Rattus norvegicus: one gene and its partner. The protein of the gene in region 2 interacts with the protein of the main gene of each other region in a pairwise test. Links are inferred from orthologs where the notes say so. Each region holds a gene or a part of one and is shown on either strand. Other genes may lie near its edges.

Region 1 (3,733 bases), on a different chromosome or scaffold from region 2:
CTAGCTCCCCATTCCAGGACATCCTCATGGAGTTTGAACTGAGCTAGAAACATCTAACCTAAATATTCTAGAAGAAACTTCTAAGACTTGATGTCTCCAGTTGGCAAGTGTTAGAAAACGGACTGTGTCATCATACTAGAGGCTGGAGGGACAGATGGTATCGGGGAGCCCATCTGCTCACACCCTGTAGATCCCATTGTTCAACTTTGAGGAATTTCACTGCAAATCAGTGAGACACAGTTATTCTCTAGAACTAAATGAGATAAATTCACAGTATATAACAATATCTAAAACAAACAAGAAGGACTGCAGAAAATAACCAAATCATTATTTGGTTATCAAAATATTTTTAAAAAATTTAAAGCATCTCTCTCTCTTTGAGCGAAAAAGAAGGAAGGAAAGACAGAAACTCTGATCTCTTTAGCTCTTTATTATATTCCTGCAATCTGAGTCACCCTGAAGAATTTCTACTTTCTTTGTGTGTAATCCACAAAGCTTGCTGAACTCCCATTGGGAACAATGGAGTACACACGGTTTCTACATTCATCCCCTGCCCCCTTCCTCCCCCCACCCCCCGCCATTTTCTTTCCTTTTTCTTGCAGTGCTGAAACCTAGCCAAATGTCCACTTACCTTGGAAAGTGAAAGGTAGAGAGAGAAAAGCATAAAGAAGTCTTTAGTGTCATTTATAAAGACATGTGATCCTAATTTAGAGCGAGGAGCACGTTCTCCTCCAAAGCCTGAGAACTGGAAAGAAGCCAAGTTCTTTGGACAAGCCTCTGTTTGTGAGCACACAGGTGAGAGCGCTCTTGTTGCCATGCAGGTGAAGTTGTAGGTCAGGTGTGTGTCTATAAATCCACACCCCTTTGTAACGAGTGACACTCAAAGTACATTTCTAACAAGATCGCTGGGCCGCTCAGGTAAGCAGGCAAAACTTCCAGACTACTCACTGTTCAGTCTTTCAACCTCTGCTCTATTGAAACAATTAATTTTTTTCTATTTAAAAGTAAGACTCTTAGAAGCGTGAGATGTGAAATAATGCTATATTCCGTTGCTGCTACTGACTTGGCTTCCTGGGCTGGCTTCATGGTTTAACTCTCAATTCCTATTAATAATAGAGTAAGTTAAACTTATTTGATAATGATCTCGTTTTAAAAAAAAATCAGGCGCTAACAACAATGCTTCCTTGTATTTTTAAGGCTTTACTTGTTTTTTTTTTATTTCTTTAATTTATTTCATGTGCGCTGGTGTTTTGCCTGCATGTATGACTGTGTGTGGATGTCGGATCCCCCTGGAACTGACAGGTGTGATTTGCCATGTGGGCATTGGGAACTGAACCCAGGTCTTTTAGAAGAGCAGTCAGTACTCTTAACTACTGAGCCATCTCTCTCGCCCCTAAAGTTTTATTTTAAAATACAGAAGATTGCAATATTAAAGTAAGTGGTTTATGTTAAATTCCTTTTCAAAAGTACAAGCCTAGAGTTAGAGAGTGCTAATTGGCCAATGCTGTTAAAGCCTCCTGGTAGACAGCAGGGTTGGTGCTTCTTAAAAGAACCTAACCTAAGAACCTAAGAACAAGTAACCTAAGAACAAGTTCTTCCCAATGCCTGTCCCCTACATCTGGAACTTAAGGGTTCTCAACGAGACACACTCAGACCAAGGGAAGCGTCACTGAGTCCCGAACAACCGTAGACAAGCTATATTGTTTTGAATACAGTCAGTACAATTTTTGCAACATCTAACAAAAGTTTCTTAATTGAATATAAAAATGTGCTTGACAATAGTACATAGTTATGTAATAAATGCATAGATGCTAGAAATTAGAGATTATAAGGTTCATCCTCAACTGTGAACTTGACCTAAAATAACACGAATATTGAAGTTACACACCCTCTCCCTTTTCTTGATGTAGATTTTTATCTGTTCATCTCTGGTTCTAACATCAAGAATTTTCCAAATATTTTCTCCAGATTAACTTTCCCTAACTTTTCTTCAAAGATTATAAAAGAATCTGAAGTATTTTTGGACCTTCTCAAGGAAGATGAAGAGAAGATCTCTGGGATTTTTTATTATTATTATTATTATTATTATTATTATTATTATTATTATTATTTTCTGCCTATAGTTCAGTTATAGACCTTCCAGAAGCTGATAGGATTTTTTTCATCTTTATTAACTTGGGTATTTCTTATTTATATTTTGGTTGTTATTCCCTTTCCCAGTTTCCAGGCCAACATCCCTCTAACCCCTCCCCCTTCTCTTCTATATGGGTGTTCCCCTCCCCATCCTTCCCCCATTACTGCCCTCCCCCCAACAATCTAGTTCACTGGGGGTCAGTCTTAGCAGGACCCAGGGCTTCCCCTTCCACTGGTGCTCTTACTAGGATATTCATTGCTACCTATGAGGTCAGAGTCCAGGGTCAGTCCATGTATAGTCTTTAGGTAGTGGCTTAGTCCCTGGAAGCTCTGGTTGCTTGGCATTGTTGTACATATGGGGTCTCGAGCCCCTTCAAGCTCTTCCAGTTCTTTCTCTGATTCCTTCAACGGGGGTCCCATTCTCAGTTCAGTGGTTTACTGCTGGCATTCGCCTATGTATTTGCCATATTCTGGCTGTGTCTCTCAGGAGAGATCTACATCCGGCTCCTGTCAGCCTGCACTTCTTTGCTTCATCAATCTTGTCTTATTGGGTGGCTGTATATGTATGGGCCACATGTGGGGCAGGCTCTGAATGGGTATTCGTTCAGTCTCTGTTCTGAACTTTGCCTCCCTATTCCTTGCCAAGGGTATTCTTGTTCCCCTTTTAAAGAAGGAGTGAAGCATTCACATTTTGGTCATCCTTCTTGAGTTTCATGTGTTCTGTGTATCTAGGGTAATTCAAGCATTTGGGCTAATAGCCACTTATCAATGAGTGCATACCATGTGTGTTTTTCTGTGATTGGGTTACCTCACTCAGGATGATATTTTCCAGATCCAACCATTTGCCTACGAATTTCATAAAGTCATTGCTTTTGATAGCTGAGTAACATTCCATTGTGTAGATGTACCACATTTTCTGTATCCATTCCTCTGTTGAAGGGCATCTGGGTTCTTTCCAGCTTCTGGCTATTATAAATAAGGCTGCTATGAACATAGTGGAGCACGTGTCTTTGTTATATGTTGGGCATCTTTTGGGTATATGCCCAAGAGAGGTATAGCTGGGTCCTCAGGTAATGCAATGTCCAATTTTCTGAGGAACCTCCAGACTGATTTCCAGAATGGTTGTACCAGTCTGCAATCCCACCAACAATGGAGGAGTGTCCATCTTTCTCCACATCCTCGCCAGCATCTGCTGTCACCTGAGTTTTTGATCTTAGCCATTCTCACTGGTGTGAGGTGAAATCTCAGGGTTGTTTTGATTTGCATTTCCCTTATGACTAAAGATGTTGAACATTTCTTTAGGTGTTTCTCAGCCATTCGGCATTCCTCAGCTGTGAATTCTTTGTTTAGCTCTGAACCCCATTTTTAATAGGGTTATTTGTCTCTTTGTATATTTTGGATATAAGCCCTCTCTGATAGGACTTTCTTGTAGGTAATTTTTCAACATCACTACTGCAACTTGCATCCTGACTGAAGCTGACCCTCCCAAGTTGGCCTTGTTAGCCCAGGCTGTCCTGTTCCTTGTCCATTGCTTTCTTTTCATTGTCCAGGTCCGAGAATGACATTCTGAAATGTTTTATGACTTAATGAGCTATAAGAA
Region 2 (3,752 bases):
GTTACAGGCATGTGCTACCATGATCCGCTTTTTTTTTTTTTTTTTTTGGCAGGGGAAGGGGACCGGAGGAGGTGAAAATAGCTAAATTGTAATATTAGTCTGCAACAGACAAGGTTCCATATATTCCTAAGTAATAAAAATCAAATGCATGATACAGGTTAGTGCATGTATTGAAGGGGTGTGGCTAGATTTGCTCTTACAAAGCCCTGAATTGATTTTCTTGCCTGTCATTTCCTTTGTTACTAGCATCATGACCTTGTGCCTGCTGTTGTTTATCTGTTTCCCAGCTTCCTGTCTCTCTTCACTCTCACCCAGTTACAGATACAACACCCCTTAAAGCACTACTTTCTGGTATTTTCCTACACCGGAGTTTGGTAATCCTTCCAACCTTGTTAACCCTGTCTTGTCTCTGTCCTTATTTCCTTTGTTCATACATCTCTAGGCTTTACCCTTTCCTTTATCGTTTTTGTTTTGTAATACATGAACCTGTTTCGTGTTTATCCCCTAAACCTTTTATGATAATTATTGTGTGTGTTGGTGTGTGATGTGCCCTTATGTGCTGTGTGAGATCTAGGCTGAAATGAAGTCCTCAGGATTGCCACAAACTCCTCTACCCACTGAGCCATCTCACCAGGTTCACGTAGTGTGGAATGTTAAAATACAGTGAGAAAAGGTTAAGAGCACTGGCTACTCTTCCAGAGGATCCTGGTTCAATTCCCAGCACCAATGTGGCAGTTCGCAACAGTCTAACTCCAGTTCCAGGGGGATTCAATGCCCTCTTGTGACTGCTGAGGGCACCAGACACACATGTAGTGACATATATGCAGGCATAACATCCATAAATGAAGTTGCTTTCTTGCCATTCATTTCTTCCATCAGCAGAAAAACGGGTCCCAGACTTTGTAAATCTGGTTCTAGCCTACCCTGCCATACAACTTCTTTCAACCATAGAAAATCAAGCATTCACTGTTCACTGTTTTGGCCTCCTGACGACAATCCCGATCCCCACATTCAACTTATGTTTATCATTCTGATCCTGTTTCTGGGTGGCTTTCAGAAAGCCCTCTGGTTTAGTGTTCTGGCACAAAATAAATATTCAACCCAAGTCTGAATGATTAATACTGGTCGAATAGCTTCCTCTTCGGAATCAAACCCTTCATTCCTTGAGACTGATCTGATCGTTTCCTTAGTGTACCTGTAGATCGCGCTTGCCAGTCTGACTAGGTCCGAACCACAAAAGCAAGAAGGAACAATTCCTACACTGAGGGGTTGGACCTGTGCACTAGCACTCCCAATCCCTATGCTGTGCGCGCGCCCGAGCCAATTTTGTCCCGCCCGCGCACCGTCTAGCGGGCGAGGGCTGCGTCGCGTGCGTCCCCGCGCAGCCGCAGTGTCGGACAGGTGGGCGGGGCCGGCTGTTGGCAGCAGTTGGCGGGGCCGGGTGGCGGCTGCACGTGCGGGCGGGGGCGATGCGTCACTGACCGGTGAGGCGAGGCTCAGGGGTCGCGGTTCTCCGGGTGCCTGAGACCAAGGCGGTTCTCAGTCGGGACCTTCTACTTGGGGAGCCAGGGAAGGGGTGTCACGACGTACGCCGAGCCGGGGGCGCCGGCACTAGGGGTTGGTGAGGGGAGCGCTAGCTGAGAGAAAGCCAGGGGCCGGAGCGCGGGGCTTCCCGCCTCAGCCCGCGACCGTACGCGGGCTCTTCACTGGGTGGGGGCTGGCCTGTCAGTCAAGGGACTGAGGTTCCTCTTCTCCCGGTGCTCAGGAGGAACAAGGATGAATATGACTCAAGCCCGGCTTCTGGTGGCTGCAGTGGTGGGGTTGGTGGCGATCCTCCTTTACGCCTCCATCCACAAGATCGAGGAAGGACACCTGGCCGTGTACTACAGGTGAGCGCCGCCCTGTGCAGCCAGCGATGGTTCTAGAGCACAGGGAAAGGGTCCAATGGTCACAGTGGAGTCTAGGAAGTTGCTCTTTTCCGCGGCGTCAGGGGAGCGCTTCCAGCCCTGGGAAGTGGTTTCATCCCAGCTGCTGGGAGCTAATCTTTGGCGGGGCACCTTTCTGGTATCAGGCAGTTTAGTGACAAGTTCATGCTGTGCAGAAGTGAAGACACCTTGGTGGGTACGGAAGTAGTCACTGCAACCCAGATGACTCCTTGTAGTCCGCACAACTGTACAGGTGTTTAGTTTGCCACTGTGGATGTTTTTCGGGATCTCTGGCCTTATTTATGACAGTTCTCCCAACTCTACGGTTTTTCTTCTTCATTAGAAACCTCCCATTGTCTGGTGGTTATGTCTCCCAAAGTCTTAATGACCACAACAGTATCCTATTCCTAAAGTTCAAGAGACAAAACCACATTTGCAGGCCACCTTTCTCACTTGTTTTTTCCAAGTCATGGTGAGGAAGAGTGTGGACTCAGTTGCTGTCCATTTGTTTTGGCATAGTTATTCTTCAGTATAAATTACCACCAGCTCCTTGTGATATAGACTGATAAGAGAAGCCAGTTTGCAGAGTTTACAGAGAATTTGGGATGGTGGTTAATTCTGAAGCAGATTTTTTAGTATTTCCATTATGTCCCCGAAACTGGTATTTCTACTTTTAGATCTGTCCAGAATCCTAGAAAATAGACAATTTCGGTGGTATGTCTTAACAGATGGAGTTCTAGCATAAGAAATGCCAGCCTGGACCACATTTCCATCCAGTCTGTCTTTGTCTTTCTGACAGAAAAACCACAAAGAGAACATATCAAGATACCATTCCAAAAAGATAGCTAATGGACATGAAATGGTTCATCTTTTTAATTATGACTTTCAAACCTTTTCGTATATTCAGAAAAGGGATCAGCGTTTTGTGAATTTACTATTTGTTGTGTAAAATAGGACTTTCTGTTGTATTTGCCTCTAATTGGCAGGGGATATTTTCATAGTTCACATATTTCAGAGTTTGATAAACAGACCCATCTCTCGGCTGTAATCTCACCCCTTCTGCTGTCTATCTTTCCACGCTAGGTTTTGTTTCTTTTATACAGAAACTATGTTCCCAGGACTTTACTCTCATGTATTGAAAGAACCATTAGCCTCAGAAAGTTTCTTCTTCCTCGAAAGTTTGTTTTTTCCTTATATAAACTTAGTGAATAATATATTGTTTTGACTTGTCTCTTGTTATGTGCAATTAAGGCACCTTAATTGAGAGTCATTAGAATTTTTTCCGTAAGTATTTATCGGAAAGCTAAAGACCGGAGAGGATCATTTGAACCCAAGAGCAGTGCTAGAGACCCAGAGGTGTGGTTGGTGAAGCTTATGAAACAGGGTGCAACATTGGCAGTGGACATGGACGAATTTTCACATTTTTAACGGTGATGGATGTTTTAAGTAGCCGTTGTTGAATAACTGTTGTGAGGGTAGTAGGTTAGTAACATGAGGAATATGGAATGTTTATTATAGCATTTTAAATTGAAAAGAGATCTTAACAGTTTTATCAACTGAAACATCTTTTTGCAGGGGAGGAGCTTTACTAACTAGCCCCAGTGGACCAGGCTATCATATCATGTTACCTTTCATTACAACATTCAGATCTGTGCAGGTGAGTGATTCCTAGGGATTCCAGATAGACAGGTGTGACAGGAGTTACCACGCTTATGGGTGGAGATGAATTTCCTTATTGCTTAAGCAAATGTTGGTATTTACTCAAATGTGGAGTGAAAGTTCATAGTACAACTGTCATAGCACAAGTAATGATTTCAAACCACCTTG

Evidence for each region.
Region 1: the proteins of Erlin1 (region 2) and Agr3 interact in binary tests that used the Homo sapiens proteins (3 or more experiments, as listed by UniProt). The two-hybrid records come from large-scale screens. The link is inferred for Rattus norvegicus from reciprocal best matches to the Homo sapiens genes ERLIN1 and AGR3.

What each region holds. Positions count from the first base shown.
Region 1 is NC_086024.1:58,369,889-58,373,621, forward strand, and holds the start of Agr3 (anterior gradient protein 3 precursor), read left to right. Parts: upstream 1-812; 5' UTR 813-918; intron 919-3,733. UniProt on the Homo sapiens protein: Required for calcium-mediated regulation of ciliary beat frequency and mucociliary clearance in the airway. Might be involved in the regulation of intracellular calcium in tracheal epithelial cells.
Region 2 is NC_086019.1:252,903,325-252,907,076, reverse strand, and holds the start of Erlin1 (erlin-1), read left to right. Parts: upstream 1-1,395; 5' UTR 1,396-1,484; exon of another isoform or gene 1,485-1,617; intron 1,618-1,765; 5' UTR 1,766-1,776; coding exon 1,777-1,889; intron 1,890-3,500; coding exon 3,501-3,582; intron 3,583-3,752. UniProt on the Homo sapiens protein: Component of the ERLIN1/ERLIN2 complex which mediates the endoplasmic reticulum-associated degradation (ERAD) of inositol 1,4,5-trisphosphate receptors (IP3Rs).